Linked DNA regions of Ovis aries. The protein of the gene in region 3 binds, or shares a complex with, the protein of the main gene of each other region. Links are inferred from orthologs where the notes say so. Each region holds a gene or a part of one and is shown on either strand. Other genes may lie near its edges.

Region 1 (4,911 bases), on a different chromosome or scaffold from region 3:
TGAATGTTTAATCAACGATGGGCTATGGCTACGCAGCCAGAAAAAGCGGAGAGGGAATCCGATGAGGCCAGTATGGTCCCGAAATGCTCCGCTGCGAGGCTCTGTCGTTCCTTCCCGCACGCGGTCTCAAGTCCTGGGTGGGAGCTTCTGCATGCGCAGCATCCCAGCAAAATCCTAAATTTCACCTAAGTTTGAGGACTCTCGCACGCACCAAGGTCGATGTGATCAACTTTTCAAGTGAAAGCAAGCTGAGGATGCCTTTGGCAAGGACACGTTCCCTGGCAGGTGGTTCAGGAGCACCGGAGAGATCGAGGCCGCGAGCAGAGAACAAAGGGGGACGGCAGGCAGCGACCGGGAACCGGGGACGCGAGGAAACGAGCCGGGGCCCTCAGAGGCCCCCGCGACGCAGCCCCCAGGGTAGGGAGAGGGTGCCGGGGAGACCCCCGGGAAGGTGGAGGAGGGGGCGGGGCGCCGAGGACCCCGGGAGGGAGAGGCGGCGGAGGGGAGAGGGGGAGGGACCCTGCAGGGAGGGCGAGGGGGCGGGCCCCTTGGGAAGGAGGTGGGAGGGAAGGGCGGCGAGGACCGCCGGGTCAGGGCACGCGGGCGCGGGTGCCGGGGCGGGGACCCCAGGAGGGAGGGGGAGGGGCGGGGCCCCCCAGGAGGGAGAGCGGGCACGCGGGCGCGGACATCGGGGAGGGAGGGGGCGGGGAGGGGCACCTGGGATGGAGGGGGAGGGGGAGGGGCCCCTCAGGATGGAGGGGGAGGGGGGACCCCCAGGAGGGAGAGAGGGGACGGGGGCGCGGACACCGGGGAGGGAGGGGGCGGGGAGGGGCACCTGGGATGGAGGGGGAGGGGGAGGGGCCCCTCAGGATGGAGGGGGAGGGGGGACCCCCAGGAGGGGACAGGGCACGCGGGCGCGGACACCGGGGAGGGAGGGACACCTGGGATGGAGGGGGAGGGGGAGGGGCCCCTCAGGATGGAGGGGGAGGGGCGGGGACCCCCAGGAGGGAGAGAGGGGACGGGGGCGCGGACACCGGGGAGGGAGGGCGCGGGGAGGGGCACCTGGGATGGAGGGGGAGGCGGAGGGGGAGGGGCGGGGCCCCCCAGGAGGGGACAGGGCACGCGGGCGCGGACCCCGGAGGCGGAGGGACACCTGGGATGGAGGGGTGGGGGCGGCGGGGACGCGGGCGCGGACGCCGGGGAGCGAGGGGCGGGGCGGCGCCCCCCGGGCTGGCGGCGCAGGGGAGAGGCGGGGAGCGCGGGCGCGGCGCGGTGGGAGGAGAGGGCTGACGTGCGAGGGGCCGGGCCGGGGGCGGCGGGGAGGGGGCGGCGGCGGCGGCGAGCGCGCCCTGGGCGGCGGGCCGGGGCGGGGCTGGGGGCCGGGGGGAGCGGCGGGAGGTGGGGCCGCGGAGCGCGCCGGGCTGCTGCGGCGGCGGCGGCGGCGGCGGCGGCCGGGAGGCGGGGTGGCGGCGGGCCGGGGCTGCGTGCGGCCGAGGGCGGCGGCCGGGGGGCGGCGGCGGCGGCGAGCGCGGCGGGCGGCGGCGGCCGAGGGCGCGGAGGGCCCCGCGGGCGCGCACGGCGGCGGGCCCGGCGGGCGGCGGGCGGCGGGCGGCGGGCCCGGCGGCGGCGGGCGGCGCGCTGGCGGCGGCCATGGCGGTGGCGGCGGCGCTGGCGGGCCGCGGGGCGCGCGGAGGCAGGGGCCGGCCCCCGGGCGGCGGGCGGGCGGAGGGGGCGGGGCCCGGGCGGCGGGCGGCCCGCGCGGCGGTGGCGGCGGCGGCGGCGGCGGCGGCGGCCGGGACGAGGCGGCGGCGGCGGCGGCGGCGGCGGCGCGGGGCGCTCGGGCTGATGGCGGCGGCGGGCGGCCCCGGGACGGCGCTGTCTCCGCGGCCGTGCGACAGCGACCCGGCCTCCCCCGGAGCGCAGTCCCCGAAGGTGAGCCGCGGGCCGGGGCTGGGCCGGGGCTGGGCCGGGGGGGCCCCCGGGGGGCGGCCGTGGGGAGGCCCGAGGGGCGGCGGGGCCGGGCGCGGCCGCGGGCTCCGCTGGGCCTCGGGCCCGAGAGTTCTCGGCGGTTTCCGCCCGCAGGCGCCCGGGGCGCGTCCGCCCGGGCAGCGCGCTCTCGCCAGAAGTGAAAGTTGGCGCCGGCGCCGCGGGCCGTCCCGCCGCGGGCCTGGGCCCCCGCGCGCCCCGCGGAGCGCCGCTGGCTGGAGCCGGGACGCGGGGAGGGGACGGGGCGAGCCGGCGGGGGCTGCGCGGGCGGCGCCGGAGCCGCGGAGAGCCGCCCCGCGCTCTAGGCCGCGCTCGGCCCGCCGTGGGCGCGCTTCCAGGGGAGCGGGGCGGCCTCGGTGCGTGGAGGTCGGCGGCGCGGGGAGAGTCCGGGCGAGCGTTCAGGCAGCGCGGCTGTGCTCGGCCAGCCCACCCGCTTGTGACAGAGCGACCTACACGCCCGCGCTCGAGTTGAGACCGGAAGGCTGGCGCTGGACGGCGACGGGGCCGCCCGGGTGCGGGGCGCCTGCGGGGCCGCCCGGCCCTCCTCGCGGGCGGCGCGCCGGGGCCCCGCTGGGCCGGGCTTCCGGAGCCCAGGCCGGGCCCGAGGGCGGCGCCGCCGGAGCCCAGGCCCGCCCGGGGGGCTCGCCCCGCGCCCGGCCCTGCCGCCGTGGCGGCGCTGCCCTCGCTCGCTCGGTCGTGCGGGACCCTTTGCGACCCCACGACTGCGGCGCGCAGGCTTCCCGCTCCTTCACCCGCTCCCCGAGTTTGCTCGCAGTCCTGTCCGCTGACCTTCAGAAATGGGTTCAGTCCCAAGGTGAGAGCCACCCAGCACTCTGAGACACACGTTGCTGACCTCAGAGGTGGGAAGCCTTAAAACCCGGACTCCTCTGTCAACAGCCAGGTTGCAGGCGAATTCTTTTAATCGTATTCCATCATACGTTAGGAAATACGTTGCTGTTACCCCTCTCTGATGTTCACTGTATGGACTAACACGTTTGCCTAGAATTCACGATAGCAGATTCAGGCACTGCATGTGAAATTGTGCTTTCAGCGTTTTTGAGGACTTCCATTTTTAATTAACACTTTTTAAGTGTATACAATTTTTTTAGCTAAGGGAAAGGTATTTAAACAAATGGACATAAAAATCCTTAAAGTGCTCAAAAGCAAGTGAAATAGAAGAGAAATGATACTTGAATGCTTGTTGACTATGAAATGTTTCAGTTGGGAGACACTGTTAAATGTCAGTTTTTGGAGAAAGTAGATTTAGGCTGTTCTCCATCTCCTACCTGGTTGCTTATCTTCATAGGAGTATACAGAACTTTTCAACTGAATACTTATTTTCTAAGGACTGAAAAGGAGAATATTCCACGGTTTTTGCTATTTGGTAAAGAATCTGAGTAAATTCCTAACAGGGAGCCTTTTGAGACTTGATCATCAGTGCAGTCAAGTTCTCCTGGGCACTTAACTGTTTGCAAGACCTTGCTCTAATTATTTCACGTATTAACTCTAATCCCTACACTGGCCAAGTAATAGGCAGTACTGTTCTCACAGATAAGGAGGATAACCACGCAGCTGGTGAGGGGCAGTCAGTGGCCAGTAAGATTCCAGGCGGTCCAGCTTTGATGTGCCTGACCCAACATACTCACTACCTCTGTATTCTTGGATTCATGATATTTAACAAACTTGTGTTGTCTTAGGAGGCTAGACTGGAGAAGGCAGTGGCACCCCACTCCAGTACTCTTGCCTGGAGAATCCCATGGACAGAGGAGCCTGGTGGGCTGCAGTCCATGGGGTCGATAGGAATTGGGCACCACTGATCGACTTCACTTTCACTTTTCACTTTGATGCATTAGAGAAGGAAATGGCAACCCACTCCAGTGTTCTTGCCTGGAGAATCCCAGGGACAGAGGATCCTAGTGGGCTGCCGTCTATGGGGTCGCACAGAGTCGGACATGACTGAAGCTCCTTAGCAGTAGCAGCAGCAGGAGGCTAGAATACCATGAATTTTTTTTGTTTTTAATCTTTAATTAGTTTAAGCCTTGGCTGATGTGTGGTCGGGCTTCGCAGGTGGCTCAGTGGTAGAGAACCGGGCTGCCAAGGCAGGAGACGGGACCCATTCCAGGATTCTTGCCTGGGAAATCCCAGGGACCGAGGAACCTGGGGGACTATAGTCTATGGGGTTACGAAAGAGTCTGATAAACACAGATTTACCCGCTTTTGCCTGAGGGGCGACAACAGCGCATTCAATTTCCTGATACTGGACCCATCATTCATTTCCTTAATGTAAATGGTCTAACTTACAGCCTTGATAAAGCCGCACAATGGAAAATGTCACTTTAAAACTTTTTAAACGTCTTCTTTTGGGGAGGTAGTGTGTGTTGCATTGGTCGATGACTCTTATTCTGGTATATTTTTGCTGAATCTTTGCAAATATAAGAAAGATGACGATTGGTCGTCTGTTCGTGTTCCTTTGTGTCCTGTTCACAGGGATATAAGTGTCCGAAGTAGCCAAGGAGAATAAGCCAGCTCTGAGTTGAGTTAAACAGTAACTGATCCCACACGTTTTCGTCCTAGCTAGAGCAGGAGTGTTCATTTTAATCTCAGAGTGCTGTAGCAGTTTGGTGTGTTTCTTCAAAGCAGAAGCACTTTAACCTCTTGGTAAGAAAGGAAAAGTAGATTTAAACCTACAAGACAATTGAAAATTTACTACTTTGATTTGGATTGGAGATTAGTTTTTGGTTTTTTCCAGGTCTTGCCAAGGCCAAATTCTTGTCCCTGGTTAATTATAATAGGAAGTTATCATTTGTATAATCTTTAGGAAGCCTTTAAGTTGAGCCTTTTAGCAAGTTTGGGAGGATTACGTAATCTCCCCTTATTTACTGTTTTTTGTCCTGTTATTTTTTGCATCTTTTGAATGTATAGGAT
Region 2 (4,723 bases), on a different chromosome or scaffold from region 3:
GAGGCTTTAAAAAAAAAAAACAAACCTCTGTTTTGTAATTAAGGACACAACCCTGTGAGAAGCAAATATACTTACTCAGCCAAGGTCAAACAGCTGGTCATGTGTATAGATGGACCTCAGATCTCGTCTTTTTATTCATTCTCTGACCTGGAGACCATGTATTCTAATCTAAAGTGGTTTTGTGCCCGTGAAAGTTGTGAAGTTGTTGCCACTTAGAAGCCAGACCTCACTCTTGCTGTGGCACTCAGTTTAGGTTATCAGAGAGGATGGCGCAGAGGGGACACATTCCTGGTTCTAATCTGCTTCTGGCTCTTTCTGTTGGGGTGGGGGATTTGGGTAGGTACTAAATGGGGAAAACTGGGGTTGGGATTTGTGAGCTTTCAGCTTTTTATGGACATTATTTTAGCCCCTTATGAAAAAGGACCCTCAGACATTTTAAGCCAACAGATGCCTAAGAACCACCTTCTCCATCTGCTTCTGGTTGCCACTGGGGTGAGGGCGGGGGGAAGCCTTAAATTCTCTAAACTTCATTAGCACACATTATTTTTCAGTGGGAAGCATGTCTGGTTTTGATGAGATACCCATAAAGGTTATTAATTTCTGCCAGAACCCAAATGGAGGCATCGCCACAGAGAACTGCTGCGGTTGCAGACCACCTGGGAGACATTCAGAGGTCTCCAGTTGAATGGGAGTTGCTTAGTTCTAGAAAGTGGCCTGGAATTCAGAGGCAACTTAATTGGAGACTTCTCATCCTCCTTTGTCTTTTTGGAACCATGCAGGTGGCTGAAATTTAGGTACATCTGAGAAACACCATAATGTCTAAAGCTGTTCCAGAGCCATCTGCTCAGATCAGTGCAGAAAATAAAATGCCATGGTCAACCAAGCTTTGTTTTGAGCTTGCACCAGAAAAGGAAAAGAAACTGAGGCTAATGTTTCAGTTTTGAAAGTACAGCCATCCTGATTGTAGTGGTGCTGGGTGTGGGTCATGAAAAGCATCAGAATTCAGGCCTGTCTATTATCCCAACCTCTGCAAAGTAACTTTTGTGGTTTCTGAGTGTTCTGAAAGTCACTAGAAGACAAATGTAGCCCAATGTGGCAAGCCCCTGAAATGCCACAACCACTGAAACAGTTTTTGCCCAGCCATGGTTTTCCAGCAGGGGCCTATGTAAGCATGACCCTAGCATTAAATAATCTTTAAACATGTAGGTATTTAACAAGGAAAGATAAAGAAGTGGCCTGGGGAGAGGGGATACGGAGGGGATAGGTAAGTGGATAAAACTACTGTGTGGTCTGGAACTCTGAGAAGATGATTGTTTAACAGCAAGAGAGACTGATGTTATGATCTATTGCAAGTTCCAAAGTTTTCTTTAGTTGTGTGAGCAACTGGGGAGAGATGAGGTGTTGTGGTGTTTTTGTAATCTGTTTTTCTTATTGGTCCGGTTACTAGTGTTTCACAGTCTGTCAACCCATATGGATGAATGGAGCTAGCATCATAAAACTGTCACTGAAGGAAGGTTTTTGAAGCCTGTGATTTGCATCAGAGTTTTAAAAGCAGTGGCTAGGAGGTGTTTGGGTCAGGGGAGGGGAGAAGAGGAGCAACCTATGCTGGAAATGTCTAGGTTGTGTGTTTGTGAATAGTAGTAGTAGGTGGGGGGTTACAAGGAAAGCAGGCTAAGATTTAGGGGGCTGTGTTTGAAAGCAGGGAGGGGCAGGAGCTCCTAATAATAGGGTTCAAATAGCCCACGTTGAGACCTTCACCTCCAGGACTTAGTTCTGAGTCCAAGGAACAATGATGATACGTGTCTAATCCCCCTTTGCACCCTCTCCTCCCTCCTCGAGTCCAGAGCTTGCTGTCATCTTAGGTTGCTATGAAATGAGTGAGTTTTTCTCATTGTTGAATATTCACTTCAAAAATCTGCTGTGGTATTAACTTCAACTGGAAGCTCCACCAGAAAAGGTTTTTCAGTTCTCAAACTTTCACCAGTCATCCCTATGTCCTTATGTCAAACTCCATCCCTCTTATACTTTCTCACCAGTGACTATGCTTTTGTAGCTTCAGAAGTAAAAGCTTCAGGGAGAGGATCCCGGAGATTTGAGCTCAGTTTTCAGCCCTACTGCTCACCAGCTATGAGACCTTAGACCCAGAACTTCTCTGAGCCACATATTCCTTGTCTTAAAGGTGAGGGTGATGCACCTTGATTGCCAAATTCCTTTCCAGTAAAAAACTGGGGCCTCTTGACTATGGTGGATTAGGAAGGATGAGGAGGACAGTTAGGGACCAGTGTTTGAATTCCTCCTCATTTTTTAAGTGTGGCTCTAAAAGGGAGTTAAGACTGGTAGGCTCTCCTGTAGTTTCATCTTCTCTGGTTCCTGTCTTGCCACCTTCTGTTGCCACTGGGCTCTGATCTCTCTCTTCTCAGCGCCCAAGGCTGAGGGCCAGGTGGTGGCCCACTGAGAACGTGGTCTTTTCTTCTGATGCTCCCTTTTGAACACTTTTCTCCTCATTAACACTCCAACCAGGGGATGAAGACGGGAAAGAGAAATGAGAAGATTAATTGGCCTATTTTTTTCTGTTTACAAGCACTCAGATTATGTTTTTGGTTGTGCAAAAGACTAGAATTATTGAGAACATCTCTCTTTTTCTTCCTGTTTTGTGTAAATGTATGGTGGAAGAAAGGGAACCGAGCAAAAGATTTTCTTCTCTGGATTTCATTTATCTACAGTCTCCTTCAATCTACTGTTCTTCTAACATGGCACCCATCCCAGTTAACATGGAAATAAATGCTTACTTCATTTCCATTTGGGCAGTTGCAAATGCCCTACCATTCAGTGAACTGCAGTGGGTGGGCCTGTACTGATGTCTCAGTGAGCTTCCTCTGTTGCACCCCGTGATGCTGCTGAGGAAATGGAGGTGTTCAGTAGACACAGAGTCTGGCCTTACGCAGGTGAGTATTAGCAGTGTCTAAAGTGGAATTCACTGCCTCTCATTCAGTGATATGCCTCCAGAACATGCCAGATTCCTCTGGAGGCATTATTATCAGGCTTTCCTTTGGTTGACAGCTAGCTCCCTTGGCAATTTTCTACATGTCTAAAGGAGGAAGAGGGGGTTGTTAAAACCATCAGAACATTCACAGAAGCCTGAATTGTGAGAATTAGGCAAAATGAAAGAAAAAACAAAATGGTCTCCTTGACCTCCAGCCTACAGAGGCAGTCCCTTAAATTTTTTTGTACTTGTGGTAAGATGTATCAATACATAACATGTATATTTAGCATGTATGACATGTAGACATACCATTTTAGCCTTTTTTAAAGTGTTCAGTTCACTGGCATTAAGTACATTCATAGTGTTGTATAACTACCAGAATATTCTGTATTCATTTCCAGAATTTAAAAAGTCATCCTAAACACACTCTATATCCATTAAACAATAACATCCTCTGTTTTAATGAGGACATCCTCCTCCCACCCCATCCCAGTGTGGTAACCACCATTGTACTTTCTGTCTGTATGAATTTGCCTGTTCTAAGCACCTCATATGAGTGGAATCATACAATATCTGTCCTTTCGTGACTGGCTTATTGCACTTAGTATAGTGTTCTTAATGCTCATCTGTGTTACAGCATGTGTCAGGACTTCCTTCCTTTTTATGGCTGAGTAATAGTCCACTGTATATATATGCCTTATTTTGCTTATCCATGCATCCAGGGATGGGTCCTGGGGTTGTTTCCACCTTGTGGCGATTGTGAATAGTACTGCTATGAACATGGGTGTGTAAGTAGCTGTTTGAATCCCTGCTCTCAGTTCTTTGGGGTATATGCCTAGACCCCCCCTTCATTTTTAGACTCACTAAGATTCATGGAGTACATTTCTAGATAGTATAGGCAACTCCTTTCTTCTAAACTTAAAAAAAATACTCATGGCATCATAGAATTCAACCTCTTTACCTGCCTCCCACTTTAGGACTACCACTATTTTGGGGGTGGAGGATAAATGCCCCAGGAACTCAGAGACTCACTTCTTTTATCCCCAGCCAGAGGATTGCCTTCATCTTGTCACCACCCCCCCACCCCCAACCCGTTGAGGGCAGGGACTCCCTTGGGGTCAGGGTCTGGATATGGGGAGGCCCCAGAGGCTGCAGCACTAGTTGTCACCTGGTGGGGCTGGAGCGAAGGTTTCCCAGGCAGTGGAGGTCTCATCAGGCAGCAGGTGTTCCTGCTGGAAACACCTGGGATGACAGGACAGCTTGAAGGTCAGGAGGTAGTAAATCTGACCTATCTTTTCATAAGGGGAGAAGGGCATGCATCTCATTTGGCCTCCCTTCCCTGCGCTAAGCCCTGCTTACCACCCCCTGAAGGGCCCAAATGAAACAATGGATGTGAAAACACTTCAGAAAGTGTAAAGTACAAATGGGAGGTGTTACTAGAGCTGCCAAGTGCCCCCCACCCCTGCCCCGTAGCTAACCTGGGGGGAGGGAGGGGGGCGCTTCTCAGAGAGTCAACAATATCGCAAGTATCAAACATCACTTTATTATATTAAAACCAAAATTAATGAAAAGATCCTGGCATTCCACATCCTGTCTAACCATTGTTTCTCAGGAAATGCAAAGCTTCACTCATCCAGCTGTGTGTAAATAGCCCTGGAATCTCAGTGGGGTTTTCCCATCTTCCGGGTTTGAAATAGGTGAGAATAGGAGCTCAAGGGAAGCCTTCGTTTCATTTTCCAT
Region 3 (4,984 bases):
TCACAGAGCAGAAAGATCTGTGCACGGAAGAGGAACCAAGGAAAGCTTCCTGGAGGAGGTGGGGCTCCAGACTGGCTTTAACGTATGAATGTGATTGGGACAAGTAGAGAAACATTTTCAGGAATTCCAGGCAAAAGAATAGCAGGAGCAGAGGCTTGGAGATGGGAATGAGCGAGGGGTTTTGGAAGTTAGACAGACTGGAGAGATTACCTCCCCAGGTTACCAGCAGACACCTTCGTGGCCAGTGGCAAACACCCACCCGTTCCCACCCACCAGGACCCATTATCTGTGAGTGTGGGTCTGGGGGAAGCCTGGGTAGAGGTGTGGTAGGAGGGGGCTCTCTAGGTCTCTGGTAAGGTAAAGGAGGAGCTGCCTGGACCACATGCCTTCTCTAGTCTTTCAGGGGATTGGCTGTGGGCACTGAAATGGACAGTGACAGCCAGAAGCACAGGGGGCCAAGGAAATCAGGCTGCAAGCAAAAAAAGACTCCCTCGGCAGAGCCGCTCCCTGGGTTCTTGGTCCCGACTTCTGATGGCTTTCTAAAGGGTTGAGGGTCAGGCTGGGTCTTAAGGATCTAACCCGGAATAAAAATTTCCAACAAATTCCCCAGGGCCCTGTCCTGCCCTCACCTGGGTACGGACAGTGCAGCCCCGGGAGGCATAAACTTGACCCGTCTGGTCTCAAAGCCCCTGGGGCGCTTCCTCCCGGAGGCGGGGAGAAGGGTGTGGCCTCTGGGGCGTGGGCGGGGCCAGTGCTCCCAGCCTGGGGACTCGCAGGGTTCGCCCCTCCTGTTTCCTGTCCCTCCTTCACCCCAGCTCCCTCCACACCACCCTTTCTGGGGCTCCCTCACGGCCCCACCCCTACCCCTGCTTACTTTGGGGTCCAGAGATTGGCCCTACCATACCCAGCGCCCCAGCTCCTGCGGGTCCCCCGCCCCCACCCCCAGCCCATTCCAAAGCCGTCAGGTCGCGCTGGCCTCCGCCTCGCCACCCATCCGTCCACCCCAGTTCCTTGCCTGCCCCCACGCTTCCCTTCCCGTTCTCACGAGCCTGGCCCACCTCCCTCTCTCCGAAATTTCCCCTACTGCCTCGACTTTGTCACAGAGAGACAAAGACTCACATAGCCCGAAATAGACACCCCGAGCGGGGAGACACAGACCGTGTCCAGCCACACACGCACCCGCGCCCGCCCGCGCGCGCGCGCGTACCGGAGGCTGCGGTGGAGGGAGGCACACAGAGGAGGCATTTATCTGTGCACGCACGTAAACATCCACACCCACGGCCGCCGGCCGTGCCCACACCAGGGTGCAGACACACTCAGCGGTGAGACAAGGGCGCACACATCTATGGACTGCAGGGCACACCGCCTCCGGGGCACACCCACCACGGCCGCCCGGTGCCGGAGAAAGGCCTCCTCCGGGCTCGACTCCCGCCCCCCGCCACCACCACCCCCTCCACCCACCCCGGATTCCTTCCCAGCGAAATGTTTCCCTACTTGGCCTGCCAGGTCTCTGGGGAAAAGGGCCTCAGAAATGCGGCAGGAGCCACTTGGGGGCAAAGTTGGAACGGCCTGTTCCCGGCCTGTTCCCTGCCGGCGAATTCCCTAAGCGAAAAACTATTTGCGGCGAGAGAGGCCGGGTGGCCGGCGAGCCCCCCGGCCGCCTCCCCTCGCGTCCCCTCCCCGCGCCGCCGCCGCTGCCGCCGCCTCCCCGCGGCCCTCGGGCGGCCTCGGGCAGGCGGCGCCGCTGCCCAGCGGCCCGGAGCCGCGCTGGCCGGCGAGCCTCGCCGCTTATCTGCGCTGTTTGGGCCCGGCGAAGCTTGGGAAAGGCAGGCTTCTCCGTCCCCGCCGAGTCAACAGGCGGACCCCGGGCCGCCGGACTATTTCTGTCTTATCAGTGCAGGAATGCGGCAGCCGCGGCGGCTGGCGGGCGGCGGCGGCGGCGGCGGCGTGGGCCGTGGGCCGTCAGGGCAGCCCTGAAGGGGCCCCCTCCCCACTCCGCTCGAGTAGAAGTGTGAGAGAGCCCAGCAGGACTCAGAGGGGAGAGTTGGAGGAAAAAAAAAAAAAAAAGGCAGAAAAGGGAAAGAAAGAGCAAGAGAGAGAGAGAGAGAGTGAGAGGCGCCGCTGAGCCCACCCCGATGGCCGCGGACGAAGTTGCCGGAGGGGCGCGCAAAGCCACGAAAAGCAAACTTTTTGAGTTTCTGGTCCATGGGGTGGTGAGTGGGGGAAAAGTTAGCGGGGGAGGGCGAGCGAGCTGGCTCGGGCTGAATGGAGGGAAGGTCGGGAGGGGCCGGGAGGGGGCTCCCGCTCCCCCCACACCCCACCCCACGCCTCTAGCGGGAGCGCCGCGGCCCAGCGGGCCCGGCCCCAGCCCCGTGCCGGCGCGCCCTGGGGGCGCCCGAACACGTCGTCAGGCGGCTTGGCCGGGGATGGGTGCCCCGGGGCGGGGAAGGCAGGCGTTTGCATGGGTTCCTGTCAGGGGCTTGGGGGTAGAACTTGGGGACGGTCTCCCCCAAAGTGGGTGGGTGGGTCCCCTGTGGGGACAACCCGATGGGTTGTCTTCCCTTCTTTCCCTGGTGGAGCCCAGGTGCGACCCCTGCCCTGGGAGTGGGGGGTGGGGGGACTTGGCATCGCTGCGCTGGGCTGCTTGTTCATCAGCTGGGACAGTGTCTCGGGAGCAAGGAGCAGGTGACCCTGGCGGCGCTGTGAGTGGGAAGCTCTGGGGCTGAACCACCTTTGCATCCTGGGCTGAGGGCTCCGGGGCTCTGCCCCTGGCCTCTGCCAATCAGGGCCAGAGAGAGGCCCTCTCTAGGGGCAGACCCCAGGTTAAGGGGTCTGAGGATCCTTTGGCAGCCTCCACCACCAGAAGCTGATGTCCTTAACACCTCAAAGGTGTGAAGGAAGAGCTGGAGTCAGGGACGGGAGGCCTGGAGACCAGAGGGGCAGGTTTAGAAGGCCCACTGGGAGCCTGAGTGAGCCCAGGGAGCCTGAGGGGGTGGGGACGGGTTGGAAGGGCTGTGGCATAGGAGAGGCAGAGGCTCCAGGACTTGGGACGGCCACTGGTGCTGAAGCCGGGCAGAAAGGAAGCAGTCGGGTTTACTATGGCCAAATTTGGTTGTGACCCCAAGGAAGACACGTTCTCAGTAAGAGAGGCCAGAGCCCCTAAAATGTTGGCCCTTTGGGCAGGTCACCCATCCCCGCTGGCCAGCACAGCCTTCTAGGGGCTCTGGAGGCCTCCCTCTTGGGGCCTCCTTAGCAGATCAGTGAGTACCACCAGCCTCATTAAATGGGAGAGCAGCTGATGAGGAAAGGGGCTTTCCCAAAGCAGCCTGTTCTCCAGGCCCATGGGTCCCTAGGCTAACTTCCAAGGGGTCCCCATGTTGGTTAGCCTCATGACCAGCCCTGATCTTGCTGCCTGGGGTGTCCCAATAAAAGGCCCATCTAGGAGTGAGAGAGTGTATACATGTGGATTTTTTTTTAAGTCAACTCACTGCTTCAGTTCTTGGGTGGCCTGAGCCCCACTCCCAGCGCCCTGTCTGTGCTGGCAGGGAGTGGCGGGCCTGGGCTCCATTATGGGCCACCACCCTGGAGGTGTGAGTGACAGGGTCAGGTGGGGTGGGGGAGGCAGACACATGGACAGGCAGGTCTCACTGCTGAGGCTGTGACAGGCAGAGACAGCTGGTTGGCTGGGGGTTAGGGTTAGACACGGCGCGGGCAGGAGGGACCCGGGGGAGGGGGGCAGTGCGAGGAGATTCACTAGGCTCAGGGGCAGGGCGCTTCCCTGTTCTGGGAGCAGCTGCACCCCTGGGGTGGAGTGGGTGGTGCTCAGATAGTATAACAGGGGCACAGGGTCTGTGACCGTGGCTCCCTGATCTCCTTCCTGCTCTCCTGGCCCCCGTCCACATCCTGGCCACCCTCCGCTTGACAGCCCCTTGGGCCCTCCCCAGCCTCTCTTCTGGAATGGGACAAGTGAGGTTTTACGAGTCTGTGGAACACTTCACTCGATGCACTGGGTTGTCATCTGTATCCCAGTTGAGCACCCGGGTAGCAGCAAGGGCGCACACCTGCCTCACCTGCCTCCCCGTGCCCCCTGGGAACCCAGACTTCTGACCTCACTGGGGTAGGGTGGGGAGTAGTTGTAGTCTGTAGGATGGGGCCATCTCTGGTGATTCAGGCAGACAGGAAGGGAGAGATAGATATAAGAGAAAATGTCCATCCTTTTGACCTACCCAAGCCCTCTGGACCACCCATCACCAGTCAAGCCTCATAGCCCCCCTCCCCTCAATGGGAGAATCCTGGTGAGGTCTGACCTCAGCCCCTCAAGCTGCTTCTAGCCCTACCTCCAAGCCTTCACCTTGAGAGTAAATTATGCAGGTGGGCTAATTCAGCCAAGCCCCTGACGGTAGAGGCTGGGAATCAGAGCAAGGGGGCAGGGATTGGGACGGAGGGGCAAAAGCAGGGCCCCAGAGAGGAAAGTGGGTTGAAGGCAGGGAAGGCAGGGAAGGCAGGACCCCCTGGAAATGGACTGGGAAGCAGGCAAACGGGAAGGCAGACGGCAGAAGTCCGGAGCAAGAGAGCCAGCCCTGAACTAAACGAAAGCAGCAGAGAGGGCACAAACCCCGGGCCCCTCAGGAAAGGGCCTTGCATGACCTTGGCTAGGTTGCCTCTCTCCTTGAGCCGCGGTTGCCTCATCCGTCAAGTGGGGATAGAAGGCCCTCAGTCTGTCTTGCAGAGGAGCGTGTGGATAGGAGCATCCTTTGAAAAGGTTGAAAGGCGCCATTAATATTCATCTTCGCGGCACCTTCCGCAAATCCGAGGCTGGCGATGCCCTGTGCAGTTAGTTGCCTGGCTTCAGTTAGCTTCCTGCAGCGAGACGCAAGCCACCACCACCCCCCCCCCCCCCCCCCCCCTCCGCCAAAGCCGCGCGGTTCCGGCGCCCCCGCCCCTCCCCACCCCTCCCAGCCCCATCGGCATCGCGCCGTCGGCA

What was found. Proteins that work in one complex are often made in the same cells at the same time.
Region 1: SMARCD3 (region 3) and PHF10 share a complex: the UniProt entries of both Homo sapiens proteins name them as parts of the neural progenitors-specific chromatin remodeling complex. The link is inferred for Ovis aries from reciprocal best matches to the Homo sapiens genes SMARCD3 and PHF10.
Region 2: SMARCD3 (region 3) and DPF3 share a complex: the UniProt entries of both Homo sapiens proteins name them as parts of the BAF complex. The link is inferred for Ovis aries from reciprocal best matches to the Homo sapiens genes SMARCD3 and DPF3.

Annotation. Positions count from the first base shown.
Region 1 is NC_056061.1:91,185,597-91,190,507, reverse strand, and holds the start of PHF10 (PHD finger protein 10), read left to right. Parts: upstream 1-1,817; 5' UTR 1,818-1,845; coding exon 1,846-1,932; intron 1,933-4,908; coding exon 4,909-4,911. UniProt on the Homo sapiens protein: Involved in transcription activity regulation by chromatin remodeling. Belongs to the neural progenitors-specific chromatin remodeling complex (npBAF complex) and is required for the proliferation of neural progenitors.
Region 2 is NC_056060.1:82,481,573-82,486,295, reverse strand, and holds the start of DPF3 (zinc finger protein DPF3), read left to right. Parts: upstream 1-1,629; 5' UTR 1,630-4,723. UniProt on the Homo sapiens protein: Belongs to the neuron-specific chromatin remodeling complex (nBAF complex).
Region 3 is NC_056057.1:115,437,964-115,442,947, reverse strand, and holds the start of SMARCD3 (SWI/SNF-related matrix-associated actin-dependent regulator of chromatin subfamily D member 3), read left to right. Parts: upstream 1-2,005; 5' UTR 2,006-2,135; coding exon 2,136-2,213; intron 2,214-4,984. UniProt on the Homo sapiens protein: Involved in transcriptional activation and repression of select genes by chromatin remodeling (alteration of DNA-nucleosome topology).